4 linked regions of the Pelodiscus sinensis genome follow. The protein of the gene in region 1 binds, or shares a complex with, the protein of each later gene. Links are inferred from orthologs where the notes say so. Each region holds a gene or a part of one and is shown in the gene's direction. Other genes may lie near its edges.

Region 1 (7,656 bases):
GCCGGACCGGGGGGGGGGGGGCCGTGGCCGGAGCCCTGCGCCAGCCGGACCGGGGGGGGGGCCGCGTCCGGAGCCCTGCGCCAGCCGGACCGGGGGGGGGGGGGGGCCGTGTCCGGAGCCCTGCGCCAGCCGGACCGGGGGGGGGGGGGCCGTGTCCGGAGCCCTGCGCCAGCCGGACCGGGGGGGGGGGCCGTGTCCGGAGCCCTGCGCCAGCCGGACCGGGGGGGGGGGGCCGCGTCCGGAGCCCTGCGCCAGCCGGACCGGGGGGGAGGGGAGAGGGGAGGCTCTGCCTGGGTTTCAGCGTCCGTCGTGGCCGCCAGTCCCGGTCCTGTCCCGGAAGCCCGGTCCAGCAGCCGCCTCTCGCCCTCCTGCCATGCCGGGGCAGCGTCTGGTACCTGAGCCTCCTGCCGCCGCTCATCGGTCCTTTCTCCTCACCTGTCGCCTAGCAACCCAGCATCCCTGCCACGGGCTGCGGCCGGAGCATCCTTCTGTGCCCGGCCCGGCCTCGCGCCCCCTCTCTGGACCCCCGCAAAGCCCTGGCGCTGCGGGAGGGGAGAATCGGGGAGCCCCGCGGGACAAGCCAGCAGCGGCGGGCGGGAGAGGCACGAAGGAGGCAGGTGCGGCGCCAGCGTTTGCAGGCTGCTCACGGCGCGGGGGGGCGGGGATCAGGGAACAAGAGCGGGCGCCTCCGTTTCCAACTCCCCCCTCCGCCCCCCTCCGCCTCCCCCGCCCGTGCCCGGCGGGCGCCAGGCGCAGTAGAGGGACGAAGCGGCAGCCGAGCTACCGAGAGGGCCCCTGCTGGGAGGGAAGGGGGCCGAGTCCTCTGCGCTGGGGGGCAGTGAATAGCAGCAGGCTCCAGCAGGGGTGAGAGCCGGGCTCTGGTGGCACCAGTGTGCTTGGCTGGTGCTGGCTGAGATTTCACAAGGGTCTACTGACAAACCCAACTTCTCCTGGCTCCCTTGCAGCCGGGCCTTATGCCAGCCCGGCCCGGCCCAGCCCAGCCCAGCCCAGCCCGGCACAGCTCAGCACAGCCCTGCCGGGCCCAGCCCAGCCCAGCCCAGCCCGGCACAGCTCAGCACAGCCCAGCCCGGCACAGCTCAGCACAGCCCTGCCGGGCCCAGCCCAGCACAGCACAGCCCAGCCCGGCACAGCTCAGCACAGCCCTGCCGGGCCCAGCCCAGCACAGCTCAGCCCAGCCCAGCCCAGCCCAGCCCAGCACAGCACAGCACAAGCACAAGCACAAGCACAAGCACAAGCACGGCACGGCCCGGCACGGCCCGGCCCAGCACAGCACAGCACAGCACAGCACAGCACAAGCACGGCCCGGCACAGCACAGCACAGCACAGCACAGCACAAGCACGGCCCGGCCCGGCCCGGCCCGGCCCGGCCCAGCACAGCACAGCACAGCACAAGCACAAGCACAAGCCCGGCCCGGCCCGGCCCGGCCCGGCCCAGCACAGCACAGCACAGCACAGCACAAGCACAAGCACAAGCACGGCACGGCCCGGCACGGCCCGGCCCAGCCCAGCACAGCACAGCACAGCACAGCTCAGCCCGGCCCAGCCTCTTGCTAGTCAGGGCAAGTGCAGCCCCAGACTGGCCCAGCTGGCGGGGCAGCAGAGTGTGGTACTGCTGGTCACCATGCTCTCCTGTCCCATCCCCCCAGGCAGGGCGGGGGGAGGGGGGATCCTGAAGCAGCTCTGGACACTTCCTCTCGGAAGGTCCCGCAAGGTCGCCCTGCCCCAAAGCCCTGAGTGCAGAGGCCTCCTGGCAGCTCACCCCCTCCCCCTCCCTGGTATTTAATAGGGGATAAGAACCCATCAGGAGAGCTGGTGAGACCACCCAGGTGCATGGCAGCTGCTCAGGGGCACCCAGCTCTGTGTCCTGCCCAGGCAGTGGCCGGGTGAGCAGCAGCTGGCTAGAGCCCAGAGCAGGGCCAAGGGAAAAGCACTGGAAGCCCAGGGCCGAGCGGCCGGCCAGCAGCAGGGCGACTGGGGCGTGTTCTGTAACTAGCTTGCACCAAGCAATGTGACCTCCCGCCACAGCGCAGGGGCCTTACCACGAAGCCCCAGCCCGTCCCCTAGACGCAAGCGGGACTGTGTGACAAAGATTCTACACATGCAGGTTCAGTTCAGTCCCCAGTCAGTCCCCTGGCTCAGTCTGTAGCCTCGCTCTCCCAGCAAAGCCGTGCTGGTCCAGAGCGGCTTTCTGAAGGGTGACTCGCTGGGAGTTACTGAGAGGTGAGAGCCGGTGAAATACCTGTGCAAGTGAGTCTCAGTCTCCCATTCTCAAGTGGTAGCAGAGACATAGCGATCTGCCAGTTCCTTTGCATCGTTGCAATGAACAAGACTTATGCCCTTTGTGGTTAAAGTTCTTCATTTGCATTACCCAGGGCTTCTTTCTCCCTGGCTGGGGATTTAGTGGCAGGGCTGCATGCAGGGTCCGTGTTTGCTCTTGCACCGTAATGGGAGACGGATACGTGACAGCAAAGCAGGCAGCATCCATGCCGTTCCAGGAGGGTTAAATGCCCCAGACCTTCTCCCATACGAACAAGCACTTTGAGCTGCGTTGGCCTTGTGTCCAGCCAGGCATTTGTAAGCGTCCAGTGAGGCCTGGGACTTGGGCATGAGCTGCCACCTGGTCTGCCAGTGCCACCCCAGCCTCCTTTCCAATGCTTCGTGCTGCCAGAGGCATCAGTGCCATTTGGCCCCTTTAACGCTGTTAATACCCCAACACCACAAAGGCAAAAGTGCCGACTCCCATATGCAACGGAGCGGCCAATTGCCCCCATCCGAGCAGGCACAGACCTGGCTGTCAGCCCAGGAATTCAGGACCTCTGGGCTTGGGGACTGTGGCTCATTTGACTGAGGAATGAAACCTCTCACCCTGAAATGTTCCAGCTAGTCTAGTCCACAGCGGCGCAGCCTGCCAGGGTATATCTGCCCAGCACTCCACTCCGCACTGGCTGCCTAGGGACACTGAGGGCAGCGTTGGATTTCTGCTGCCATGGTCAAAGCCCTCCATGCCCTGGCTGCCTGAGAACCTCTGCCTCACAGCTGAGACCTCCCTCAACAGCTGCATTCTAGCCAAGCAGGGCTGTGAGTCAGGGGTGCCTCAGAGGGATGGGGCCTTCACAGGCGCTGGGCCTCTGGCTTATTGCCCAAAGTGACGAAAATGACCAGAGGCTGCGCTGCACTTTGCTTCTCACGCAGTCACTGGTCACACGCGGCAAACACCCTGCCCAGCCCACAGCAGTGCGAACGCCCTGACTGACACCCTTCCTGCCCCAGCCACACCCAGGCAGGAACTCGGCTGGGGAAGATGCCTGCCAGTGCCAGGGACTGACAGGGATGTGCAGGCCGAGGGCTGGGGGACAGCCAGGCTCTGGGGTCATCAGCAATAAGGCCTGGATGTGTGGGAGCAACAGAGCTTGTCTGGCCGTGTTCAAATGTGCAGTTGTAGCTGTGTCAGTCTCAGGGATTGGAGACACTGTACTGGATCATCTTCTATTGGCGAGAGAGGCACGCTTCCAAGCCACGCGCAACTAGGCCGCTGACGGGGCAAAGGGGCAGCTGCCCCAGGGCCAGGCCATTCAAAGGGGCCTGGAGCCCCTGCCCATGGCCACTGCTGAACTGGAACGATGTGGGCTGGGAGATGGGCCATGGGGCAGAGTGGAGCAGGTTGCTCTGACTCTTGCTGCTGCGAGTGCGGGGTTGGGACGGGGACCACTGCTGGGGTGTTGTGCCCTGCCCCCCCCAGGTAATCCCAACAGCTGCCCTAGGCCTTGCAGGTCCCATTCATAGGATGGTTCAGGTGGCTGCCACTGGGGCCCCCAACGCACAGGGTCTGGGGGCAGCCGCCCCATACCATCCTATGGATAAGATGAGTCTGCCTAGAACAGTTCCCGTTCCCTTCAGACCCACATAAGAAGAAAAGATTGTGGTGGGGAGATTTTGTCAGCAAATTGCTACATTTTGGCTAGCTCCTCTCCAGAAAGGCACGTTCCTGAAACTGACTCTTAATTCATAAGACAGCAGCTGCCTCAGTAGTCTGTCGTAGGGCTGTCCGATAGCTTTTTTGGGACAATCCTTTCTATTGCGATGAGAATTCCGTTAAAAGCATTTGCGGAAAATCATGCCAGTCTAGCTGTAGCCATCACGTCTAGGCTGGGCTGTGCCCTGGAGAAGCAATAAACCCTCTGTTCTTGCTGCTGCGGGGCTGCAGGGCCGGGAACCTCAGCTCCCCCTCACAGCACTATTAAAGACTGGCCCACTTATTTCTGTGGCTGTGCCTTGGGGAGGGCTCAGCTTCCTGCCCCCAGGCCCCTGAGCTGCCAACTTCCCACGTGCTCTGAGCCCTGCCCCCTGCCCCTCCCCTGGCCGGTCAATACAGGGCGTGCAGGGGCAGCGCCTCGCCCCTCCAGCTCCCACGAGGAGGCGGCTCGGCGCTGCCTCTGGCCAATGGGCACTGCGGGGCGGTGCTGGGGGCGGAGCCTGGCACGGACAGCCCCGCCCACTTCCTCCTTCCCCTGTTCAGTGGCGTTCAGCGGAGAGCAGGGCGCCAGGCCGGGAGCTCGCGCGAGCTGCGCGCGCAGCGACTCCCCCTGCAGCGGGCGGGGCCGGGCGCAGCCGCGCGCCAGGAGCCTGCCGGACCCCGCCCCCGGCCAACCCGCGCAGCCGCAGCGCCGGGCGAGCGAGCTCGTGCGAGCGCCGGGGGCGGGGCGGGGCGGCGCGGTGACGTGCCCGGTTGTGGGCGGGGCGCGGAGCGGGGCGGCGGGTGCTGGCGGCGCCGCGCCATGGCTAAGACCGTGGCCTACTTCTACGACCCGGACGTGGGCAACTTCCACTACGGTGCGGGGGCGGGGCCTGTGTGGGGGGCGGGGCCTGCAGGGGGCGCTGGGCCTGTGGGGGGGTCGGGGGGGCGGGGCCTGTGGGGGGGTCGGGGGGGCTGGGCCTGCGGGGGGCGCTGGGCCTGTGGGGGGGTCGGGGGGGCGGGGCCTGTTGGGGGGGTCGGGGGGGGGCGGGGCCTGCGGGGGGCGCTGGGCCTGTTGGGGGGTCGGGGGGGGCTGGGCCTGCAGGGGGCGCTGGGCCTGTGGGGGGGTCGGGGGGGCTGGGCCTGTTGGGGGGGTCGGGGGGGGGCGGGGCCTGTGGGGGGGTCGGGGGGGCTGGGCCTGCGGGGGGCGCTGGGCCTGTTGGGGGGGTCGGGGGGGGCTGGGCCTGCAGGGGGCGCTGGGCCTGTGGGGGGGTCGGGGGGGCTGGGCCTGCGGGGGGCGCTGGGCCTGTGGGGGGGTCGGGGGGGGCTGGGCCTGGTGGGGGGGTCGGGGGGGCTGGGCCTGCAGGGGGCGCTGGGCCTGTGGGGGGGTCGGGGGGCGCTGGGCCTGTTGGGGGGGTCGGGGGGGCTGGGCCTGCAAGGGGGGCTGGGCCTGTGGGGGAGTCGGGGGGTCTGGGCCTGTTGGGGGGGTCGGGGGGGCTGGGCCTGCAGGGGGCACTGGGCCTGTTGGGGGGGTCGGGGGGGCTGGGCCTGCAGGGGGCACTGGGCCTGTGGGGGGGTCGGGGGGGCTGGGCCTGCAAGGGGGGCTGGGCCTGTGGGGGAGTCGGGAGGTCTGGGCCTATTGGGGGTGTCGGGGGGGCTGGGCCTGCAAGGGGGGCTGGGCCTGTGGGGGAGTCGGGGGCTGGGCCTGTGGGCAGGGGAGTGGGGTGTCTGGCTGCAATCCAGTGTATGATCTGTGGGTGCTGATCGCCTCTATTGTTTCCAGGCGCAGGGCACCCCATGAAGCCTCATCGCCTGGCACTGACCCACAGTCTGGTGCTTCACTATGGGCTCTACAAGAAGATGATTGTAAGCATTGCTTGTCAGGTATTGGGGTTGGTGTCCTGGAAAGCCCTCCACATGGTTCAAATGTAACTATGTTAAAACGCGGCTATGAAATATGCTCGTCCCCATTTTATAATATGTCTTATTCTTGCTGACGAAAGTCATTTCGCCATATTAGGCTAGAACAGTGGTCCCCAACCTTTTGGGGCTGCCAGGTGCCCGGGGGCAGGGCTACTCAGGCGCTGGGCACCTGGCAGCAGGGTCACACACGCACCCAGGGGCGGAGCTGTGCACGTGCCTGGTGCTGGTGCCACCCATGCGCTGCACTCCCGGGGCCGGCGCCGCTCCCGTGCTGCACGCCCAGAGGCCGGCACCGCCCTTGTGCCATGCACCTGGGGGCAGGGCTGCCCAAACTCTCCGCACCTGGGGCCGGCGCTGCTCATGTGCCGCATGCCCACGCATGGGGCCGCCCAAACACCGTGTGCCCGGGGCCGGCACAGCCCTTGCACCGCACACCCGGGGGCAGGGCCACCCAAACACTGTGCACCTGGGGACGGGGTCGCTCATGTGCTGCGCGCCCGGGGCCGACGCTGCCCATACGCCGTGTGCCCAGGGGGCTGGCACCGCCCATGCACCCGGGGGTGGGGGCGGGGCTGGTCCCATTCACTCGGCGGCTGCACAGAAATTGCCCGGCAAGCGCCATGGCGCCCGTGGGCACCGCGCTGGGGACCACTGGCATGACTCTCTATTTGCTGGGGATGCTTTAAGTCAGTGGTTCTCAACTTTTCCAGAATTCTGTGTTCTTTTTAGGAGTTTGGTTTCTTGTCTGTATTTCAAGTTTCACTTCACTTAAAAATACATGCTTATAAAACGAGGTATAAAAATGCAAAAGTGTCACAGTGCACTATTACTGCAACATTTCTGACTTTCTCATTTTTGCCAAATAATTGCAAAATATATTGATTGAAATGTTTCTGCGATATTCCAGTGTGGTAGTTGAGCCTCTTTTTCACTTGTGAGCCTTATTCTTTTGGTTGACAGTGAAGTGACAGCAAGTTAGAGGTTTTTCTCCACATTGTGTCTCGGTGGCAGTCATAGCAGAAAATGAGACTGTTCAAAGATATGCCGACCTGAAAGATAACAGACCTCCCAAAGCATGATTCCCACAGTTAATGTACTCTTTTTCTGCATTGAACACCAGAACTAGGTTAGTGTAGAATCATTATATTTGCAGACTATGGCCTGAGGGAAAACTGAAGAATATAATCTTGCTGTCCAGCAGAGAGGTTACTGCTGCTAACATTTGGCAAGATGAACAAGGTTTCTTACCCAGTTGCGTTGAGCTGAGTTGTGCTGAATGTTGGAGAAATCATTTTGCTCAGCTCAGTTTCCCCTATTTAGGCCTCCGTGATATATTAATAAAACACTGAAAAACAGGTAAAGTCTTTGACTTGACATTTGGACTTCCAGAATTTAGTTTTCTTGATAAAAGCATTCACTTTATCGTAAAGATTCAGATTGTTGGTGTCATGGCCTTTCATGGACAAATTGTAATCATTCAGCTTGCTAGATATGTCTGCAAGGTAGGCAAGTTGTACTAACCACAGGATGTTGTCAAACACAGAAACAAACAGGGATGAATGATCAGAGAAAAACTTATTAAATGGGTATAATTCAAAGCATCCATCAAGTACTTTGCCTTTTGAAAGCCAGTGAACCTCAGTGTGAAGCAACAATTCCTTATGATCTGACCCCTTCTCTTGACAAAGAATGCAAAACAGCTGAGCATGGAATGGCATGGATTTGATAAAATTGACAGTTCTGACATACTCGTTTAAAAC
Region 2 (7,718 bases), on another chromosome or scaffold:
AGCCACCGCAGCCCAGCAGCCAAAGGTCTGTGGCCTGACAGTGAGCTGCAGCCTGGTGGTTGGGCACTGCTTGATTATAGCATTTTGTGTGGAGGGCGTTCAATTCAGAAATTTGCTTTCTCAGTTTGGTGTGACAAATGGATGTTGGAATTAAAAAGTGACTAAATGGATGCTGCAGGATGCAGTGGGACCAGGCTCTGAGTTAAACCACTCTGAGTTAAACCACTTAACCATTTTAACATCCCTAAGAGCAATAGATGTGAAGTTTTGACTTAAACCATCTTAAGAGTAGTTTTCTTTTTTGAAAAAGGAAATGTTCATGGTAGAAATACTTAGGGACAGAGAGCATTTTTAAAGACTTACTTCTGTGAGACAGGGAAAAGTCTTCAGTCATGACAGAGTTATACTTAATTTATTTTAAAAGAATAAATAAAATTTGCTAGAGACTAAATAACAGAACCAAGCTTTCATGAACATGTCATGAGACAGAAATATCTTCACTGAATACCTAGGTTCAATTTTCAGTACCAATGAAAATTTGACAGTCATTTTAACTGGATTATCTCTAGGGACAGAAATAATCTATACAAAGAGCAATATTGTGATGCTGGGAACACTACTAATGCCAGAAGGACAGTAGAACACTAATTCCCATCTGATTTCTATTTTTTGCTTTGTTTTGTATTTTATGCATTGGTTGGCTTTTAATATTGTAATAAAACCTAGTTCAACTCCCACTAAAGTCTGTGGAAGACTTTCTTTTAACATTACTTGGAGTTGGATCATATGCCACATGTAGCAGCATGCTGTTATATGTAGAATGCAATAATTATATAAACACTATCAATGGGCCACTTATTCCGGAAAAGCAACTGCTTTTCCGGAATAACTTGCCAGCTGTCTACACTGGCCGCTTGCTTTTCCGGAAAAGCAATGACAATCTACTGTAAAATTGTCAGTGTTTTTCCGGAAAAACTATGCTGCTCCCATTTGGGCAAAAGTCCTTTTCTGGAAAAATTGTTCCGGAAAAGGGCCAGTGTAAACAGCACAGTAATCTTTTCCGCAAAAAAGCCCCTATCGCGAAAATGACGATCGGGGCTTTTTTCCGGAAAAGCGCGTCTGCATTGGCCACGGACGCTTTTCCGGAAAAAGTGCTTTTCCGGAAAAGCATCCTGCCAATGTAGATGCGGTTTTTCCAGAAATACTTATAACGGAAAACTGTTCCGTTTTAAGCATTTCCGGAAAAGGGTGCCAGTGTAGACGTAACCTATGTATAAAATACTTCAAAGAGCTTTACAATTACTAATTAACCCACAGAAGACTACTGAGGGATAGTTGAATATGTTAATCACCATTTTACCAACAGAAAAACTAAAGGAGAGATTCATGGTCTTAGTTTTCAAGGTAATGAGTAGCTGTCTTCAGTGCAACTAAAAGCTAAGGCTACGTCTACATTGGCAAGATTTTGTGCAAATACTTTTAACACAAGAGTTTTTGTGTTAAAGTATTTGCGCAAGAGAGCATCTACACTAGCATGTGCTGTTGCGCAAGAGATGTGCTTTTGCGCAAAAGCATCCATGCCAGTGTAGATGCTCTCTTGCGCAAGAAAGCTCCGATGGCCATTTTAGTCATCGGGCTTTCTTGCACAAGAAATTAATGTTGCCTGTCTACACTGGCCTCTTGCGCAAGAACAGTTGCGCAAGAGGGCTTATTCCTGAGTGGGAGCATCATAGTTCTTGCGCAAGAAGCACTGATTTCACACATTAGAATGTCGGTGTTCTTGCGCAAGAACTCCCCGCCAGTGTAGACAGGCAGCATGTTTGTGTGCAAAAGCGGCCGCTCTGGCGCAAGATCATGCCAATGTAGACACAGCCTGAGTGTCTGACTTCACTGGAGGCTGAAGGTGCTCAGCTCAGTTAAAATTCTGGCCACAATTTAGTCTAGTTCCACAGATTGTGTCAGAGCTGGGATTAGAACTCAGGCTCACTGACTTGTACTCAATTCACTACTCTCCTCCTACTCTATTAGAACATAGGCTTCAGAGGGGTAGCCATGTTAGTCTGTAACATGAAAAACTTAAAAAACAACCAATAGTCTACTAGCACTTTAAAGAGATCACTCAGAAGCATTAAACAAGGGAAGTCTCCTGATATTCATTGTCATTATCCCCACAGCACTTCTGGCAATGGAAGAGATATCCCAACCTAAGGGTACGTCTAAACTACATGGCTCCATCGACAGAGCCATGTAGATTTGTTGTTTTGGCAAAGGCAAATGAAGCCGCGATTTAAATGATCGCAGCTTCATTTACATTTACATGGCTGCCGCGCTGAGCCGACAAACAGCTGATCAGCTGTTTGTCCGCTCAGCGCGCTAGTCTGGACGCTCCCCTGCCGACATCAAAGCCCTTTGTCGGCAGCCCCGGTAAACCTCATCCCACGAGGAATAATGGGGCTGCCGACAAAGGGCTTTGATGTCGGCAGGGGAGCGTCCAGACTAGCGCGCTGAGTGGACAAACAGCTGATCAGCTGTTTGTCGGCTCAGCGCGGCAGCCATGTAAATGTAAATGAAGCCGCGATCATTTAAATCACGGCTTCATTTGCCTTTGCCTATGTGTCTAATCTACATGCCTCTGACGACAGAGGCATGTAGTCTAGACACAGCCTCACTGCATAGATAGAAACATAATGTAAGAATACCATGCATAGTGCAGTTCTTTGGTGCTATACATTTACCAATTTACCAAATGCATAGTGCTATACATTTACTAATTTCCATATATAATTTGAACAGGTTTTTTGCTGCTTATGCCACACCTTATAGATCTGGTAACTGAAACAGCTGTCCAACTATAAACAACGTTGAGACATATCCTTCTATTCGATTTGATTTTGGCTTACATAAGATGACATGACAGTATGAGATAATATTATAAAATAATTCTTTGGATATTTATGGCAGGCTTACTTGATGTCAGGACAATATTATACATTACTTCCCCAAGCAAAAGAAAGACTGTTACCTACAAGAGGGCTTTTAAAAAAACAAACAACATCCTTGATAAAGATTTCCTCCATTGACACCCATTTAAAAAAAAAAAAGGCTGTTTGCTTTTATTATGTAACTTTTATAACTCTCTGGATTATTGCTGTGTTGTTTATTTTGATTCTAAGGTGACCTTTTAAAATAAAAAAATCTAAGGACTAATGAAAACGTAGTGGCTTTTTGTATGTTTTGCATGTTTGTTTATTCCTTCATTGCTGATGGTTGTTTGGTGGGGGCAAAGGGTCAACTGCTGTGGAAAAACTAAGGGCAAAAGGTTGGATTTTGCATTGAAATACGAAAGCAGGAAGATTCAGTCATTCTAATTTTGGGGGGAAGGAAGTTCCATAACCATGAGCTGTCCACTGGAAAAGTGCTGTTTCCACTTATTTTAAACATTGTTCCTGTTGTGGACAGCTCCATCATTCCAGAAAAAAGTCATAGATGTTAATTCAGGCAGCTGGGACACATCCCATTTGAAGAGAAACTTTGGAGAATAGCACTGTGACTTTGAACTGTCTATCGGACATTCAAAGCTTAGTCTGTGTAGTTCCTGAAGGCACTAGATTAAAATGCACTCTTGCCTTTTGATGCTGGTCAGTAAGATGGGCTGCTGCATCATGAGGCTTTTCCAGAACTTGCATATTCATCCCCATGTACAGGTCACCGTAGTTATCAAGTGTAATATGGAGTCAGTGAGGGAAAGTCTTTTCTACTGACTTTTACTTTGACTGAAGCATTGTATGCAGCTTGCCCTGTTAGCACAGTGACCAACTAGGTTGCATCTCACAGATTGCACAGAACAGGATGCTGATGACAATGCCAAAACAGTAGGAGGACAGAAATTTTGACTGTCGTTTACTCCTGTTCTCCTTGGGCACTTCCATCTCCCACAGGATTCTGAGTCCTTCTTGTTTAATGGCACCTTTGTAGAGCCACGGATTAAATTATTCAGTGATACCTCACTACAGCAATGGAAGGGGCTGGGGATGGGATGGGATATCCAGCGCCTCTCGCTGCTGCTGTTGCTTGACTGCCTTAAGTATTGACTAAACGCTGCTTCCATCTGATGGCTGGTCTGGGACCTATGTCGGGGAGATGCTGGTCTCAGGCCGCTCCCGGGGGCCGAGTTTCACCCTCCCCACTGCGCCGGGTGGGGCCACCTGTTCTCTCTTCTCAGCCTGGCGACTCCAGGAGGCTGAGGCCTGCCCCGCGGGACCTTTGGGGGGAGCCCATCTCCAGCAGAGCCATGGGCGCTGGGCTCCCCCGGCCACAGGGCAGGCTGCGTCCCCTGCACCCACATGGGGGGCAGCACCATGCGTGAGGGTCAGGCCGCCCCGCTGTCAGATGGGGGCGGGGTGCCCGCCCGCCTCTTGGTCCCTCCTTACCTGGCGCTTCGACCCCGTTCTCCTGCATCCCGCCGGACTCCGACAACCCGAAGCCGTCTGGCCGCTCGCACGGGGTCGCCCGCAACGAACCCTGCCGTAGGAACCAAGCGACACCGCCTCGTTTCCGGGCGGCGACTCAGCCTGTTGCACTCGGTTGTTCAATTGCTCTGTGCACGAGTACCGGAAGGGGTTGGTAGCAACACTCGGAAATTGTTTCCCGGGGGACGGATGTGGGTGGTTGTACCCGGAAGCACTTTCTTAATATGGGGGGAAAGGGCGCAGAAACCGGAAGTGGTGTTGCACGGGATAGTTCAGAAGTGCGCCACCCGGAAGTCCCCGCGGTCGCTGCTGGCGCTACGGTAGCAACCCGGGAGACCTCTCCTGCCCCCGGCCCGGGAGGCCGAGATGGCGCCTGTGTCCCGGTCTCGAAGCCCTCCAGGATCTCCAGGCCCCCGGCGGAAGGGCGGCAGCAGCTCCTCGGCGAGTCCCTCGCCCCCGAGAACACTCCGGCCCCACCGGCCTGCGTCCCCCGAGAAGCGGGGCAGGAGGTCGCGGTCCCGGGAGCGCAACGGCTCGAAGCATCGGCGGAGCCGCAGCTGGTCCCGCTCCCGGGAGCGCACGCCGGGCGGGCCGCGCTCCTCCTCCGCTCACCACGGGCACCATCACCACGGCGGCGGCAAGCAGTGGCCGGACTACTATGAGAAGGAGAAGGAAGAGATCCTGCGGCAGAGGCGAGTCTCCCCCCCCCCCAACCGAGCTGCCTTCGCCCGCCCCGGCTACCCGAGCTGCAGCGTGTGCCCCGCCCCTTTTCCCAGTGCAGGCGTGTTCCCTGTTACGTACCTTTCCGTGCCTTGTCCAATCTTCTTTTAAATGCCCCTTACCACTTAGCTACCAGATTCTCCTTCTCATAGTAGTCCTTGCTCTACCTTATTTTTTTTGGAAAATTAGGTCCGTTTTCCCTAACTTTGTCTATTAAAGAAATTATGCAGGGATGTAAATTAGAGCCTCAAAGGGACATGAAATGAAATAGTGTGGAGACATCTGTGTTAATGCAATGATGCAGCCCCACAGGTATGATAGGGCCCAACTTGTTAAGTTATCATGGGTAGCTTGCAAAAGTGACAATCTTCCAGATAGTTAGGGCCCAACCAAATTCATAGTCCATTTGGGTCAATGTCATGATTATAGGATTTTTTAAATGGTAAATATAATGATTTTGGATATTAAAAGCTGGAGCTTCATGCTGTTGCAATTGCAGGGGTCCTGATCTACAAAGGAGTTGTATGGGGTTTGCAAGGTTTGAGTGGCGGGGGGTGGCACTACTGCACTTTTGTGCTGCAGATGGTGGTGGTGCTGCCTTCAGAACTGGGGATCTGGAAAGTGGTGGCTGGGAGTCCAGCGTGGAAGACATTGCTACTGCCAGCAGCAGCACAGAAATAAGGATGGTATGTTATGGTACTGCTATCCTTCTTTCTGCACTTCTGCCTGCAGAGCTGGGACCTTAGTTAGCAGCTGCCGTTCTCCAGGTGCCCATCGCTGAAAGCAGCAGTACTGTATTGCCACTGAACTGCTGCTGGCAAGATGCTGCCTTTCAAATTACAATTACTGCTGTATAGTTGCCCAGTGCTGAAGGCAGCACAGAACTAAGGATGGCAGTACCGTGGCCCTCCTAAAATAACCTTGTGATCCCCCTGCAACTCCCTTTTGGGTCAGGACACCCAATGTGAGAAACACTGGTTTCCCCATGTATAGTATAGGCTAAAATCACACACAAGTCCACATTTCATTGGGAGGACTCCAGATTTCACAGTCGACGATGCATTTTGCATGTCTATGAATTTGATAGGGCCCTACATATAGTACAGCTTTAGGTGCTGAAATTAGGGGTGCAGAGGGTGCTATTGCTCCTTCTGGCTTGAAGTGGTTTCAGTTATAACAGGATTTACAGTTTGGTTTGATGATTTTCAGCACCCCCAATATAAAAACTGCCAGTATCCCTGATTACAGTCAACAGTGATGACAAGTCTGATTGTTCCGATCAGAAGCAAAGCATCACATATTAGAATGTGTTGTCTCTACAAATTAGGTCTTCCATTTTTTTAGACGAGGGCACATGGAGAGATGTTTTGTGCAGTTATCTGCCACAGACTAGGTACCTTTGCCTGTTTGTTTTAGGAAGTGGATGTAATCATCATGGTAAATATTTAGATACATAATTTGTAATGGAAAAAACTATCAGGAACATTACATATGTGGCCAAAAATCCTGTTTTACCAGACTACAAAGTCTGAGGGTTAACTGAAGCATGCAGAGGTGTTTCTTAAAAATGTCTCAAACATACTGGCCCCCCAGTAACTGAAAAATTAGTGTTGAAGTGTCTTGTTTTTGGAGAGAATAAGCAAATTTTAGATACTAACATGAAGAAAATATCCTTTCAGCAAATTTAATTATGGAGACGAGAAATGCTGATAAAAACAAACTATTCAGGTTTTGAATACCTGTTTGATGGTAGCACATTCGGTTTTAATGCAGGTATGTATCTTTATAGGAGACTGAATGAAAGAGAGAGGATTGGAGAACTGGGAGCACCTGAAGTCTGGGGACTGTCACCAAAGGTTCCTGACCCAGAGTAAGCAATTTTTCATGGGATTTTTTTGCCTTCTGGCACTCTAATTTGGAGGCTTATATAAGATAACATTTAATTAATATCAACACTAATATTTACAGAAATGTCTTGTTGTTATTCTTTGTAATTCATATTACATGTCTCCAAAGTTAAATCACTAAACAGCCATATCTGGATACCATATTTTGTATAATGCCAACAAATCAATTACATAAGGTTTCAGCATGTTGTAGATCAAATGATGTTGTCTTAGTATTGTGGTTTGAAGAGTGATTCAGATATTAGCTATTTAATCGTTTCCTTGATTACTAACACAGGCTCTGAATTTGCAAAAATTGTACATGTGTAGATCCCTGTGTGGATACAAAATTTGTATCCACCTTTGTATCTGCAAAAATGAGCTGAGAATATCTGCATTGACATCCATGGATGTGGATACCCCTGGATATAAAGTAGATATCTGCAAATATTCAGGGTTCTATATACAAAAATTATATCCTCACCTGCATCCATATCTTAAAAAATGAGCTGTGGATATCAACATCCACAGATGCGCATACCCACAGATATAAAGTGGATATCTGCATTTGCAGAGCTCTATACATGTATTTGATTTTTGGACAAACAATCCCCACTTCAAATGATGTTTCATAATTTTAAAT
Region 3 (7,742 bases), on another chromosome or scaffold:
AATACAGTGCTTGATACTGCTAACATTTACTACAGTACAGCGTATTCCCCACTAGCCATAGTTCCAGCAACCGCAATGAGACTTCAAACAAACACTGGAAGAAGAACATTTTCTGTACAATAGAATGCTTATTTGGGGATTAAGGACGGAGTTTCCTGTAAAAAGTGTGTGCTTGTGCAGTTGCTTGAGAGAGTCAAATGCCACCTGCCTAATTAGCAGAGAACCCACAGCAAAGTTTTGTGTTTCTTTTGGCGCTGCACATTTGCTCATGCCTTGGTGCATGTGAAAAAATTATTCTGCACATGGATGGAAAAGCTTAGAGGGAACATGGATTAAGGAATTCATCAATAAAATCTCAGAATTACAATAAGTACAAGACACATGCAGTAGAATGTCAAAAGATACAAACACCAGTGTTATTTACTTATCAGTCAACTGGACATCCTGTGGCACTGGAACGCCTCAATCATGCAGCAGCACAGATACAAAGGGAGGAAATGCAAATCTTGTAGGGCTTGGGGCGGGGGGCTTTACCCCTGAGGTTCAGGGCTTCAGTCATGGAAGAGGAAGTTTGGAACATTAGCCACAGGGTCGAGGCTCTGGGTGGGGTGGAGGTTGGGGCTTCTGATCCTCAGGAGCTCTGAGGATTTAGATTGAGGTGGAGCTCGGTGGCTCAGGGCTTAAGCTCTGAGGGAAGCACCAATTTCATCCCTAGCACTCCCCCGAAGCTAGAGACCTTCCCGATTGGGGCATTTGAGGGGCAGAAATAGAGCTGTGGGGAGCTGGGAGCTGCATGACTGAAGCCCTATAAGTCCCATCAATCTCCACAGGTCTAAAGTGCTGGGTCCTGATGCTTCTGCTAGGCACAAGTGCTTAGCTCTCCTCCCTTCCTCCCCCGGCTGGAGACCTGGAGCTCCAAAGGGTCAGAAACCTCAACTTCCCCTTCCCCAGCCCTGATCCTCCTCTGAGCCTGCGATGGCAGCCTCCAACCCCACACATGACTGAAGTCCATAACTACTACTTCAGATGCTGTAGAACTATTTGTTGTTTTTAAAGTTTTTACTACTTCAGCGTTATGGACAACAGCCGTTCCCGAGTGCCTGTAACACTGTATTGCAGTACAGTGTACTGCAGAATTTTCTTGTCTTTCAAACCCCCGTAAAGCAATTTCTAATATGTTGAACACAGTGGAATGTGAAGGGAATGTTGACTTGTTCTTCATCAACATCACTTTCATTATGTGATTTGTTTGTTTTCTGTCAGGAAAAATAGCTTGTATAACTGGTCATTCATAAGATTGGTGTTTGTAAAATTGAGGTTCTGCTGTAGTTGGAGGGAGACTGAAAGTGATGTGCCGCACAATGCTAATGTGCTCAGGAACCCACCAGATCCAAAGTCTCTCAAAGTTTGGATCCAGAGTTTAACCACATCTCTGAACTTCTGATAGGACCAAACCACAAAAGTTCCATCTCCTTTAGTATGAGAGGGCTTGGAAAAAATAACAGTGCTAAAGATTATTATTTATTTAAACATGACTCCCTAGGTTCTACACATAACCCAACTCTGTAAATCCTAAACATAGATTACTCATTTAACAAGCACCCTAAATAATCTTCCTTGTCCAATTACCCCATATATCTCAACCCAGCAGACTGAGCTCAGATTTATGCAGGGACAAGAGTTCCAAGGTCAAGGGCGTATAATAGAAACTAGAGTTTCACATCCTAAACAATGCTGCCATGGAATCAAAGAAGGAAAGAATTAATCTTTCAAGAAGCAAGGTCCCAAATTATTGAAGGCTTTGTAAATCAAAACCTACTCCTGTCCTGCAAACACAAGTGTGTGGCCCTGTTGATTCCATCTTGTCTACTCCCATGCTTGTAGTGAAACAAATGTTGGTGTTGGTATGAGTGGGGCCTCATTTTATATTTTTTTTATTTTAAGATTGTGTAAGTGCTAACATTATTAAAGCATTATGTACCAAAAAGCACTCCACAAGGTCTATTAATTGTTGTATTTATCGACACATGCACAAATATACTTACTTGTTCTAGGCCCCTTCACAATTTTCAAAATTAAAAATCATTTTTTTAAAAATATATCCATCCAGTAACAATCTGAACCCCCCAAACCAAGTGGCTTCTACATAAGAATATATAACTGACTTTCTGCGGTCCTCAAACCCTGCATGTGATCCAGCTGGCTTCAAAGTCCTACTAGACTCTAGCATGTCTTAAAGCAGGGTTTGGTAACCTTTCAGAAGTGGCATTCACTTTCTATTTACAGATCTGTGTTCCCCCAGACCGAATCCCCATGGGTGCAGAGCCCTGAAGGCACCCAAGCCCCCACTAGCTTCCTGTGTGTACAGGGTCCTCTGCCCCAGTGCTGCCGCCTCCCACTGAAACTGGATGGAGCGCAGCCTAACCTGGTGCCAGGGAAGGAGGAGGGCGCTAGTGGCTCATGCTCCATGAGAGCTGTGCAGCCCAATCTGCAGCCTGCCCCGCAGGAACAACAGAGGTGGATGCCCAGCGGTGGGCAGGACTTTTTCGTTGTGGGGAGGCTGGGCAGAACTCCTCCATGTGTAGCTCTGTGGTCTGCCCATGGAGGTGGGGGCTGAGTTTGCTTTCTTCACCTCCCTGCCCTGTCCCCTGGAGCTGGGGTTGCAGCCTTGCAGCTGTGCACCGGCTGTGAGGCTCCAGCGGCAGTGCGGACTCCCAGCGTGCCACTCAAAAACATTTTGTGTGCTACTTATAGCACGTGTGCCGTACGTTGCTGACCCCTGTTTTAACGGCTGATAGACTTGAGTTATTTTGGCTTCGTAATTAAAGAATTTGAAAAGAGAAAGTGCTATACTCCATAAAGGGCTAAATACATATTAATAATAACAAAAAATTAACAAAGACAAGCACCAGGGCCCTCAGCCTCCACAGTTGAACAGTTCAGGGCCATCCTGTCCAGGTGGAGCAGACTCTCCCCAGCAGTGTGAATTTCACCCTGGCACCAGATCCTGCAGTCAGATCCACACGAGGATTATAGGGAGTAGGGCTTTGTGCAGGCTCAAGCGTCTGCACGTGCAAATTTGACTGCTGAATCAGAGCCTGTAAGTGTGATCCACAAAGCACTTTAAAATGCAAAGCATTGTGTACTAACAAATATGATTCACACTAATGAAGCTTGCTTTAAAACCCTGTGACATAAAGGCTAAATAGTATTAAAGTGTCCTAAAACAAACAGCATGGCATTATTATCAATAAGACATTTTATATTCTGAAAAAGAAAGCAGTCCCTGAATGCAATTGGTCTAGGTAGGTGTTCCCTTGAGCATGGGTGGAGCTCTGGAGTTAACCCTCTCAGAACCAATTGTAGGATGGAGGCCTACCATTGTTAAAAAAAAAAGAAAAAAATTTAAAATAAAGCATTATATACATGCTAAATGCCAATATTATGGAAATGCATTGGACATGAAACATGTTCTGGAGGCGTGTAAAAGATGATTGACAATAAAACCACACTACCCAGCATTACTGCCCTACGATGCAGGCTGTTGCATGGGTGTCTGGGTGCATGTGCGTGTGTGTGTGTGTGTACACATGCATGGTCTTAAGGGAAGGTGTCTCATGCAATACTGGAATCCCAGCATCCACCCCCACTCCTTGCTTGTTTTTCTGGCTGCTGCTGGTTTGTACATCATTCATAACAAGGCAACACCTGGCAATAAGGCTGAGTGTAAAGTGCTGCCAGGCCTTGGGGAGTATACTGTATGCGTGTTCCTGGAAGCAGAGGAGGGTCTCTGCCGAATGCTTCCCCTCTGTGCACACTGCTTGCTTTGCTTTACATGGTCTTGGTAATAATCCTGGGCAATATCGCTTGATACAGCTTGCTGCAAGCGGTGTGTGTGTGAAGTGCGAGGGTCTCCCTTCACTGTACTGGACCCCCGTGTCCTTCCCGCTTTCACCCTGCTGCTGCTTTGCAGGCTGCTGCTACGATATATTCTTAATAATCAACCAGTGCCCGCCTTGCACTGTTGCCCACCTCTTACGCAACAAGCTGGGGCAGGAAGGAGCAGGGCTCGCCCTGGGTGCCCCTCACCCCTCTGGTGGGTGGTGTGCCTAATCATAAAGGAGCCTGGCCAGAGGGCCCTGTGCAGCTGGCTGGGAAGGCATGTGACAGGGAAGGTGGCGGCGGGGAGAGGCGGGTATCTCCCTTGGCACCCCAGGATCCCACCCACCCTGCTCCCAGGCAGCATGTGGCTGGCCCCTGCGGAATCCTGAAAAGCAGCCCTGCCTTGGCCATATTGCCTGGGAAAGGGGGGGGGGGGGGCGTGTGAGAAGAGGAGGGTCTCCCCTCCCCTCCCCCATGGCTGGGCTGGAGGCTGGTGGTTGCTTTTGCAACCAGCCGCCCGGGCCTGCTGCTCTGCTCCTCGCCCGTCTCTTTCTCTCTCATTTCTGTGCGGCTGGCCACCGCGCGCGCGCTCTCCCCAGCGCGGAGTGTCTGAGCCGTTGGCTGCTCCGAACCGTTTGGCTCCTTCCCTTAGTAACAGCTTTTTACATTCTGCCTCGATTCCTCTTCAATCGAAATCACACACACAGGGTCCTCCCCCTCCGTGGGACTTCATCGCCCAGCCCTTCCCCCACCCCTCCCCCCCCACTCTGCCTTGGGATACCATTGACTCTCACAGCCCTGCGGGGTGGCTATTATTTTTCTCTCCCCCCCCCCCTTTTGCTATTTTTTGCCCCCCCCTCCCTTTTTTTTTTTTTTGGATGGTTGCTTGGAGTGGGCACCTCGGCTGAGAGGGAGAGTGTGTGTGTGTCTGTGTCTCAAGCTGTAGACAGAGGAGGAAACCCAGGGTGCATTTCTTTTGCCTCCATTGCAAAGGAGAGGGGGGAGGGCAAAAGCAGCCACTCAGCCATCAACGGCAAGGTAAGGACTTGGGGGTGTTCTGGGGCTTTTTTTTTTTTACTCTCCTGGGCTGGATCAAGTGCATCGGGGGGGGGGGGGTGATGGAGCCTCTTTCGGGGTGCGGGGGTGGGGAGAGGCTGTGGGGGAAGTGATCCAGGGTGGGGGGAAGGGAGCTGTGTTTGTGTCTGTGATAGTTGGGGGTGGGGGATGGGCACCAGTGTAACATGCATTTTTTTCCCCCCCCCAACTTGGGTCCCCCTTTTTAAAAATGTATTTTTTTGGGGGAGGGGGAGCTGGTGGTTTCTATTGTAAATTGCACCTCTGTAAAGCTTGTTTTTTTGGAGGGTTTTTTTGCCTTTCTTCCCCCTTTCTTATTTCTCCCCTCCCCCCTTCCTCCTCTCCTTTGGATTTTATTTTAAAGGCTTTAAGGGGGGGGGGGGATTTGCAGCAAATTGAATCAAGGAGCCATCATGAGGCAGGCTGGTTTATAGCCTATTTTTAGCCTGATTTGTGTAAAGAAGAAGAATCCTCCCCCCCCCCGTCATATTTACTATTTCTAAAATAGAGGGCGGGGGCGAGACCACCCCAAAGTGTGACCTTAGGTCTGTATTTATTTTGCAGTCGGCTTATGGGTTGTGTCTGCAATGTATATTTTTAAGAAAAGCTGGGGAGAAATGTGCTTGTGTCTGAACTCATGCTTGAGTGGGGGAGGGGAATCTGTGTCCACACTTTCCTCTGTGTGATTTTTTGGGGGGGGTTATTTATTCTCAACGGTGTATATTGTCTTTCATTTGTAACTTAGAGGGGTGTGTTTCCTTTTTGTTTAACTACATTTGAGATACAGCCCTGGATTTAAGGGAAGAAAATATCTGTATATGTAATTAATTCCCCCTCCCCCCTTGTAAAGTGCTAAAGTTATTGTTGATCAGTTTCCTGTTTAATTCTGGGTGGATTTCTGGGTCACATTTTCTCTGACAGGATAAGGGCCACGTGTAAAAGACAACTCATGGGCCCTAGTTTTGCAAATAAGCCTTTATACCTGTTAATGGGCTATTTTTTAAAACTTAATCAGAAATTCAAAATGAGCCAGTCAATCTTTTTTTGTGCATTATATATTTTAAAAAAGAGCTTTACACCTAAGTTACGTGTTTTATTGTGCTGCTAGCTGACTATATTTACCCATTGTATGGGCAAAATGCATACTTCACTATATTATTTAATGGGGTAAACATGTATGTTAAGATTGTTCCTAGTGAGTTCAATCTTTCATCACCAAATTCCCTTTTCTGGAAAATGTATAATAAAAATCTCCTTAAGTTGTGCTTAATGGCAGAGTCTTGTTGCTTGAGAATGCATGTTTAGTTTTCAGGATAAAGTTTCATCTGTAGTTGCTGTTCAGGGTTGCAGAGTAAAGTTTGCTCATGGTCTTTGCTGTCAGATGTACCCAACAACCTCATTTTCCTGTCTGTATAAATCAAAACTTTACTGATTTATGGAAGAGATCGCAAAATATGCTTATTCTTTGTTGTTAAAGCATAGGATATGGAGAGTCATGATCTGGAAAACTGTGTTGTCCCATAAAACATCTGAGCCTGATTGCTGTTGCTTTGGTGATCTGGTATATTGAATAGATATTTGAGGGCCTCACAAAACATATTGACAAGGGAAGGGTCTTTATTATATATGGCCTATGCTCTCTGGATATTGAATGTTGGCTTTAGGTAGGACACAGTGTAGACAGAAGTGCTGTTGGCAGAGTTCAGGTTTAAGTTTTGAATAATGCCTTAAGTTTTAGGGCCAAATTTTGGGTCTTGATTGTGCACTGAACTTTGCCAAAGCTCAGATGTCTGGCCTTGGCATGGACATCTTAATATTAATCTTTTCAGCTTAAAGTTAAAATTTAAGGCTCAAATCCTAGAAACACTTATGCAGGTGTGTAACTTTAACCACGTGAGTAGTTCCATTGGTTTTAATGAGACTATTTATGAACTTAAAATTAAATATGTGCTTAGATTTTGATAGAGCCTGAGAATTAAAAAAAACTTCATTGTTAAGGTAAATCTGCTTAGTATAGCTGTTCATGTTATGTAAATAATAATAAACATTCTGTAGCTTCCCAAAGTGATTTATTTTATTATTAATTACATATTACCTGAGACTCTCTCCTAATAAAATTCAAGATCCTGAGAGTGAAGCGCAGGCTTGTCTCCGTGAACACATGGTTCATGTTGGAATGTGTCTTGGGAACTTTGTGGCAAGTCTCCCAAAATAGTATTCTGAACACCTAGAAAATATTTATCATTCACTCCATATGGGAAAGAGGAGAAGGAAATTTAAACATGCAAGAGTAGTTGGGACTTGAGTTGTTAATTTCAGCCTATACACAAGGGTATACAGTTGATATTGTTCATTTAAATGTTTTCTTGCTTCAATGAGAATAATAAATGTTGATCAAAATTATTAGACATAATTGCTACTCAGCATTCCCCCCCACAAAACAATATGAATGAAAATTTTTACAAATGCCAGTTTTAGTTTTTCTTCCAATAAGTGATGTTTCGTACATGGCTTTGAAGTTGCAAAGCATTATATAAATATTAAGCATTGTAAAACTTTACTGTGACTTTGTAATTATTATCACTCAGATAATGAGTGTAATGAATGTTGTTAAATCCTACAAACATGAGGAGATGGATGAAGTACATTGAAATGGTCAAAATGTGAATATATTGTATGTGTATCTATTTGCTTTGTTTTTAGTTAATTTTTTTAGTGAGGAAGAATAGATCCAAGTGCATGTAAAGTATATTGAATGGTTATGGAGTTTACCATAACACAGGAGT
Region 4 (7,770 bases), on another chromosome or scaffold:
GCCTCAGGCTTTCTTTAGACTCATGCAGCATTGCTGCCTCAGTTAAATTCCTCCCCCCATGCCTGACTCCCATCCCCTTCTTTCCCAGATGACTACTTCGCAGAAGATCCCAAATTCAGCCTCTGCTACTGTGAGTCGTGCCACAAGCTGCGGGGCGATGAGGCCTATTATAAACGGGGGGAGCCCCCCCGGGACTATGCCCTGCCTTTTGGTTGGTGTCGCTTCAACCTCAGGTATCAGCCTGGAGAGAGGGGGATCTGGTTCACTATTGTTGGGAGGGGGAGGCTGGGAAGAGGGGCTCTTGCTGGGATTGGACTGGAATGGGGAGGGGGGGACACTGGCTCTGACACCCTCCCACCTCGGCAGGGTAAACCCCCAGCTGGAGGTCGCCAGCACCTGTAAGAAGTGGCACATGGCTTATCACGGCACAAGTGTCGGTGCTGTCCGGAGGATGCTGGACCAAGGGGAACTGGGGGCAGGTAGGAGGGACCCAGCACAGAGCACATTATGCCCTGCCCAGACCAGGGGATGGAACTTATGCATCCTAGCTCCCAGCCCATGCCCCCCCCCACCTCCCGCCCACTCTGACCCACCAACTACCACTCCCTTCCCAGAGCAGGGGAGAGAACCCAAGAGTCCTGGTTCCCAGCTGCACCCTACTCCTCTTCCAGAGGGTCACATGCATGAAGCATGACCAGTCCCATTATGGGGTTCCAGGACCCAAACTCCTACTGGGGAGGGAGCAGTGCTTAAAGATGGGGCCTGCGCTTAGGGATGGGGCCTGGCTCACGGCTGTCCCCTGTCCCAGGCAGTGCGTCCATCCTGAGCTGCCGGCCTGCCAAGGTGGACCCCCAGGGTGGAGGATACCATGAGGCAGAGAACAGTTCCCCAGGCCATGGGGCTGAGCCCCAGTGCATCCTGCTTTCGCCCACCCTGCGCTACGCTGGCCTGGAGGCCTTCGCCACCAAAGTGCAGTGAGTGCCACCAGCCATCAGGGAGCAGCGGGGCTAGGGAGGAGGAAAGCAGTGAGTCCAGCCTGCCACTCTAGTGGGGTTGGCAGGGGTGGGGGGGGAATGACAGTGAGTCTTGCCAGCCACTGGGGAGCATTTGGGCTAGGGGAGAGGAAAGCAATGAGTCTCATCTGCCACTCAGGACTAGTGGGGCTAAGGGGGACAGTGAGTCCTGCCTGCCACTGGGGAGCAGTGGGCCTCGGGTGGAGCAGTGAGTCTCAGTTGCTGCAGGAGGGAGCAAGACACTTGAGAGCAGTGAGTCTTGGCCCCGGTTAAGGGAAGCTAGCAGGGGTGAGGGAGGGAGATCAGAGTCCCACCTCTAGAGGCCAGTGGGTGTAAGGGAGGAGCAGAGAGTCCCAGTTGCCACTGGCGGGGGATAGTGGGACTAGAAATAGTCTGTGAATCTTTGACCCACTGTGTCTCCTCTTCTCCCTGCAGATTCCGGGACCCCAAGTCACAGCGGCAACATGGGGCACAGGTGGCCTTCCAAGTGTGTGTGCGCCCTGGCTCCTACAAGCCAGGCCCCCCATCAGCTGGTGCCCCTGAGCCCCCGGACCCTCGTTTCAGCATGGCTGAGATAGAGTGGGTCACCAAGGAGAAAGGCGCCACCGTGCTCTATGGCCTGCTTGTGCGTGTGGAGTGACCCTCCCCACAGCCAGCCAGGGGGAAATCTACCACCACCCTCCAATGGACCGTAACCCCCCCCAGTGGCTGGAGGCATGGGGAGCAGCAGATCTGCAGCGCACATCTTTCTCCCACCCTGGACCAGCAGGGGGCACTGGATGCTGGGAGGGGCTTTCAGCAGTATGACCCCCTCCATCCCGATTCCAGAAGGAAGATTGGTTTTTTGGGGGGTTGTCTCTCTGCAGCATGCTCTCCCTGTGCTCAGCTGGGGATAATCACCAGAGGAACTTGCCTTTCTTGGGTAGGGGGGGTTATCTTCAGTGTGTATCACCCCCACACACACGTCTGCACTCTTCCACCCCCCCTATGGCCTAGCCTAAGGGGGGAGAATTTGGACAAGATACAGAGTCTGACACTGTTTTAAATCTGGGGGGAAGCCCCTCCCCCCATACACACAGCTCCCTCTGGTGCCCAGAGCTGTATTTTGCACATAGAAAAAGCTAAGAGGGGGCAGACTTGGGGGGGACTTACAGCATGGTGGGAGATTTTGGGGGGGGGAATATATTGCACCACAAAAGACTTAATTTCTTAGGGAGGACCTACCTCTGTGGGGGAGATCTCTACCCTTCCACACTTAAATAGCTTAGGGAGAGTAAGTACCCCTGGCACAGATTGCTATGATGGGGAGTCACCTTCCATGGCTGGGGGGCCCTGATCTTGCCTCCCAAGGGGGGGACTCTCATTCGGAGGGAAAGTTTCCCAATGAATATTTCAAGGAAGTGCTAGATTCAGTTATTGGGGTGTGGGAGAGTTGGAGTAGCCGGGGGGAGTTGGGGGAATTTGTTCTTTTAACTCCCTCTTTGTTCCCCCGTTTGGCAAGCCCCCTGCTTTGAGGAGGAGGGATGTTGAATTGTAGCACTTAGTGGTGGTTCTAGCCTGCCCCCTCTCTGGCTTGGGGGAGGGAGGCAGGGGACTCCCTGTTTTTTCCACACCATAGTGGAGGGGAAAGGTTGGCCAGGTTACCTTGCCTCCATCCCCCTCCCACCTTCTGCAACCACTGTCCTACACCCCTTTCCTGTGCAGTAAGCACTGCTCCTGTGGTGCCAGTAGCCCCCAAAATCAGCCCTACTGTCCCCTCACCCAACCATCCCTCCTTATTTATTACCTATTGGTGTTGTTGAAATGTGAATTTCCTCGTGGGGGAACCTTGGGGGGGCAGGTTTAGCACTCCTTCCCCACCTGTTACTTTTTTAAAAGTTTTATTTAAGCTGCTTTTCCATTGTAAGGTTGGGGGGAGGTGAAGTTGCATTATGGGGTGGAATGGAGGGTTCTTAGAGCCCCCTAATTGATAAACCACCATTCAGCCACCTCAGCTGTGTCTGTGTTTGTGTCACCAGAAAGGGGGGAGACTGTTAAACTAGGCTGGTTACACATATCTGGTACCATGACTTAAAATTGCCTTTTTCTGGTGCAGACCAGGGTTAAGTGACTATACAGATTTGTTTTGCACAAAAAAGCCCCGATTGTGAAAATGGCGATCGGGGCTTTTTTGCACAAAAGTGCGCCTAGATTGGCACGGACGCTTTTCTGCAAAAAGTGCTTTTGCAGAAAAGCATCTGTGCCAATCTAGATGCTCTTTTCCGCAAATGCTTCTAACGGAAAACTTTTCCGTTAAAAGCATTTGCGGAAAATCATTCCAGTCTAGACATAGCCCACATGTTCGAGGAAGAGTCACATTCTCTAATAACCATGGGATGAGTACTGCTCCCTCCTACAACTTCCCCCTAGATTGCTCATGATTTGGAAGGGAGCAGATCAGTGGCCGGTGTATGGGGCCTGTGCTGTGCCACACAGCTCACTGTGCCAGGTATACCCCTAACCTCCCCAACAACTTTGCTAACACAAATGTAAAGGGCTATAATTCCAGCACTCTTTCCTACAGCCCCACCACAGCTGCCCAGCACCCCACCCAGGACTTACCTCACTCTCTGATTTCCCAGTACAGGTTCTCCTCGCTACCTGATGCCTTTCCCCATAGTCCTGCCACCACACTGTCCTGTACTGCGTTCTCCCCTCCCCCCCCCATCATCACACCACCTGGACACTCCCATCCTGTCCTCTCACCAGCCCTGCTGGGTGATCTCTGAATCCTATGGTCAGAGTGGGGGGCAGGTGCTGTCTCCCAATGCTGCACCAGCCACACTGGTGAACTCAGCAGTTCCCGTACGCTAGGCACACTGCCAATGGGAGCTGCAGGGAAAGGGCTTGCAGGCACAAACAGAGCCCCCTGACCTTGATGGACCAGATAGGAGTTGGGGGTGAAGCCACTTCCAGGAAGTGGCCAGCAGGTTGCTCTGGCTCTCTGCCTGCAGACCCCATCCCCACAGTTTCCATGGGCTGTGGCAGAGCAAAGGTGTAGATATCGGGTGCCTAGGGGCTGCAGGCTGCTCCTCCAAGCAGAGCCCCATAGGCACAAGACTCAGTTTCTAGACTAGGGGTCACCAACCAGTCAATCAGGATCTATCAGAAGATCTTGGAGCCTCTGACAGGTGATCCTGACTGGTTTGGCTGGAAGGTTCTCAAGTGCCTGCATGTCAGTTGCCCTTCCCCCACTGCTCCTGCCTAAAGCCTCAGAGCTGTCCCCTGGGAGCCTTCTGCATGTAGTGTGGGGTGGGGAAGACAAGAAGCAGGGAGGTGCTGATGTTGCTCTGTCCCCTTCCCTTGTATCCCAACTTCACAGAGGAGGGTGGGGCCTCATCAAAGGGGCGGGCTGGGGGTATTTGTGTTAGAGGCAGATCCTAGACTGACAAATTCAAAAAGTGATCTGCTTAAAAAGGTTGGAGACCACTGTTCTAGATCAATAACAAAACAGCAGGGTGCTGGTCACCCGAGCACACACCCCCAGCACCCAGTTGGAGTGGGAGGCCCCCCGCTGTCCCTTTCTCCTCCCGGGCGGGGGCCAGCTATGCTGCCTCTGCCCACACAGGCGCATGCCCTGGGCTCGGCCGAAATCCCACTCCTGCCACCAGCGGGCGGGGCCAGCCTCATTCTGATGCACGGCCAAGCGGCAGAGCCTGGTCTCGCTGGGAAATGAGAGAGGGCGGGGCCATCTGACGTAAGGGCAAGGGCGAGGCCGGATCCCGTTCTCACGCGCGCACAGAGGGCGGGATAAGCTGACACGAGAGGAGCGGCCGGGTCGCCGCAGGCGCGCGCCCCGGAAGCGGAAGTGTACGGCTGGGGCCGGTGCCCGAGCGCGGAGCGAAGATGCCGGCGCTGCTGGAGCGGCCTAAGCTTTCCTCGGCCATGGCGCGCGCCCTCCACCGCCACGTCATGGTGGAGCGCGAGCGCAAGCGGCAGGGTGAGCCTCGTTCGCGTGCTCCGCGTCACGCGCCCCTGCCCTCCTCGTGTCTCACGTCACCTGTCCAATGACCCCTCTCCGTCTGGCCACACCCCTCAGCGGCTCTAGCCCCGCCTCCACCTGTTGTCCCCACCTCACCGTGGCCCTTCCCCCTGGAAACCCCCCACCCCCTGGAACACTCCACGTCCCCCCTCCCGCCGCATCCCTCCACCACACCACCCTGGGGTTCCCCCACCGACCCCAGGCCTCCCCATATTCTCCTCCCCCACTGCACCCCCTGGGTCCCTCCATATCCCCCTCCCTCCACCCCATCACACACACACTCCCTGGCTCCCCCATATTCCCCTCCCTCCACTGCACTGTCCCTTGGTCCCCCTGCCCGCACTGCTCCTTCCATCACACTGCCTCTTGGGAACCTCCCCAAGCCTCTGTCCTACTGCTCCTCAAGGACACCCCCTCGCACTCTCCTGTGCTGGAGGAGGGCACAGTGCCTTATAGGGTGTGGCCAAGAACCTCTCCTGGCTTCCTGAGTCCCCAGTGCTAGCCCCATCTCTCCGGAGGCGGATTTCAAGGGGCCCAATACCAGGGGTGGAGGGTGACCCTCAGACACCCCCTCCTTTTGTTCCCTGTTTCTTAGACATCCCCTGAAAAACAGGCCTGAGCCCCCTCTCCCCTGCTCTTCCTTTCTCCCTCCGTCCTCACATCAGGGGCACCTCACAGATCAGAGCCCTAGAGGTCAGGGTCACCAGCCACTTCCTGCTGCTCTGCTCTAGCCTCCCCTATAGCTGGGCCCCAGTCTCCCCAACAGCTAGGGTGACACCTCCACACTGCAGCCCTTGGCAGAGGAAAGGGGGGACTAAGGATGAGAGCGTGGGAGAGGGTGGCACTGCGGGACCAACCCAGCAGCACCCCAGCTGCTCTGCCCCCGGCTTCCCCAAGTCAGCCGCTGCTGAAACTGACCAGCGGCTGACTTGGGGAGGCCACGGGCAGAGCAGCTCCAATTGTCCGGCTGGCCAGAGCACTTCCAGGTTCCGGTTGGTGCCAGACTATCAGGAGTGCCGGACCACTGGATGCCGGACAATTGGAGTTTTACTGTACATTGTTAAAGGTGTGGATGAGCTTGTCATTAGTGTTCCCTGTAAGCTGGGTGCTTGGGCAGCCACTCAGGAAAGATTTGAATGCCACCCAGTTTTAGAAGAGTGCTCATAGCCTTAAGCTGATTCTGCTGAATCGGGCCCTGCACCCGAGAGGGCTCTACACCCGGAAGTCGGCTGCTCCCCCTTGCCTGCGCACGCTGCCAGCTGCTGCTGCCATGCGCGTGTGTTTGCACGTGGACGGAGTGACACCCGGGCGTGATGTGACGTCGTCACGGCCCGGGATTTTTAAAACTGAAAAGTGCAGGTGGCTCGGACTCGGAGTCTGGCCCCGCATTGTAGAAGGCAGAAGGTAAGGTGGGGGAGGGGGGAGAGGCGCAGTCAGCTCTCAGCCACCTGCAGCCCGGGGAGCGGTGACTCACCCTGAGCACATGGAGCCGGGGTGCAAAGCAGCGTTGTGGGGCGCAGTCAAAGCAGGTGGGGTCGCGCTTCCCCCACGGGGCCCCAAGCAGCTTGCAGAGGCAGGCCTGGCCCAGCCCGGCCCCTGGCTGCCGTCTCTTACCTGAGGGGCTCCAGCACCAGGCTCTGCAGGCTGAGGCCACGTGCGGAACCGGCCGCTAGCACGGCCACCACCTGTGGCAGCTTGAGCAGTGGCAGCATGCTCCAGCGTCCGGTTGGCCAGGCCAGCGCCAGCTGCGCCTCCTTCGCGCGTGCTGCCCGATCCGGCGCAGCCCATCTCTTCCGCTGGCAGCCGCGGGGCCAGCCCTAGCTTGGTTGGGTGGGGAGGTGGATTGTGCAAAAACGGGAGCGCTGAGGGGTGGGGGACACTGGCGGTGGGGAGCCTTGGTTCCCAGCCTGACGGATGTGATGGGGGGGGCAGAGGCATAGCGAAGGGGGTGCAGGGAGGGGCAGTTGCCCCAGGGCGCCACGCTAGGGGGGCGCCGGGCTGGGGTGAGAGCAAGCGCACGCTGTGCAGGCTCACCTGCCATGGGCGGCAAGTTATATGGCCGTCCCCCCAGCCCCGAGCCATCCCTGCTGTGCGCAGCATTCAGTCGGCTTCGCCTTGCCTGCGCACACTATGCAGCATTTCCAGGTGACCGGGGAGACGCCTGGGCGTGACGTGATGTCACGTCATGGCCCAGGACTTTAAAAGTGTTTGGTGCTGCGTGGTGCTGGCCTACCTTCCAGTTCGGAGTCCGGGGACTTTTGGGGTCTGAGCACAGACTCCGGCCCCCAAGTGGAAGGCAGAAGGTACGGCAGGGCAGGGGGAGAGGAAGACGTCTTGTGCGGAGGTGGAGGGGAGAGGGAAGATACAAATTCCAGGGGGCCAAGTGCAGACAATGAGGAAAAGGGCAGGAGGGGAGGTGTCAGTGTGAGGAGGGACAGGGTGATGCTGGGAGAGGAGAGGAGAGGGGAGGGGAAGGGCATTAGGGTCTGGAGGGGGGGAGGGGGAGGTGCTGGGAGAAGGCTTGAAAGGAGGGGTGGCCATGAGAAAGGTGGGGATGGAGCAAGCCATGTGTGAGGGCACAGGGGCATGAGGGGAATGGGGCAGAGAGTGGTGAGGGGGCGGGCATCAGGAAAAAAGGGGGCAGGGGCAGTGAGGGAAGAGGATTCCTGCTGATCTTATCCTAAGGCTTTCAGTTATCCAAGGGATTGTAGGTTGCAGGCATCCACTGCTGTCTCC

Evidence for each region.
Region 2: HDAC3 (region 1) and NKAP share a complex: the UniProt entries of both Homo sapiens proteins name them as parts of the notch corepressor complex. The link is inferred for Pelodiscus sinensis from reciprocal best matches to the Homo sapiens genes HDAC3 and NKAP.
Region 3: HDAC3 (region 1) and TBL1XR1 share a complex: the UniProt entries of both Homo sapiens proteins name them as parts of the N-Cor repressor complex. The link is inferred for Pelodiscus sinensis from reciprocal best matches to the Homo sapiens genes HDAC3 and TBL1XR1.
Region 4: HDAC3 (region 1) and GPS2 share a complex: the UniProt entries of both Homo sapiens proteins name them as parts of the N-Cor repressor complex. The link is inferred for Pelodiscus sinensis from reciprocal best matches to the Homo sapiens genes HDAC3 and GPS2.

The regions. Positions count from the first base shown.
Region 1 is NC_134727.1:1,035,544-1,043,199, forward strand, and holds the start of HDAC3 (histone deacetylase 3), read left to right. Parts: upstream 1-4,649; 5' UTR 4,650-4,796; coding exon 4,797-4,851; intron 4,852-5,756; coding exon 5,757-5,839; intron 5,840-7,656. UniProt on the Homo sapiens protein: Histone deacetylase that catalyzes the deacetylation of lysine residues on the N-terminal part of the core histones (H2A, H2B, H3 and H4), and some other non-histone substrates.
Region 2 is NC_134723.1:33,983,046-33,990,763, forward strand, and holds the start of NKAP (NF-kappa-B-activating protein), read left to right. Parts: upstream 1-4,707; 5' UTR 4,708-4,835; coding exon 4,836-5,161; intron 5,162-6,978; coding exon 6,979-7,059; intron 7,060-7,718. Other genes in the region: ZBTB33 (transcriptional regulator Kaiso), read right to left, coding at 4,431-4,458. UniProt on the Homo sapiens protein: Acts as a transcriptional repressor. Plays a role as a transcriptional corepressor of the Notch-mediated signaling required for T-cell development. Also involved in the TNF and IL-1 induced NF-kappa-B activation.
Region 3 is NC_134720.1:43,459,843-43,467,584, reverse strand, and holds the start of TBL1XR1 (F-box-like/WD repeat-containing protein TBL1XR1), read left to right. Parts: upstream 1-4,730; 5' UTR 4,731-4,920; intron 4,921-7,742. UniProt on the Homo sapiens protein: F-box-like protein involved in the recruitment of the ubiquitin/19S proteasome complex to nuclear receptor-regulated transcription units. Plays an essential role in transcription activation mediated by nuclear receptors.
Region 4 is NC_134734.1:9,787,904-9,795,673, reverse strand, and holds the start of GPS2 (G protein pathway suppressor 2), read left to right. Parts: upstream 1-4,755; 5' UTR 4,756-4,898; coding exon 4,899-4,992; intron 4,993-7,770. Other genes in the region: NEURL4 (neuralized-like protein 4), read left to right, coding at 89-233, 367-479, 809-974, 1,449-1,653. UniProt on the Homo sapiens protein: Key regulator of inflammation, lipid metabolism and mitochondrion homeostasis that acts by inhibiting the activity of the ubiquitin-conjugating enzyme UBE2N/Ubc13, thereby inhibiting 'Lys-63'-linked ubiquitination.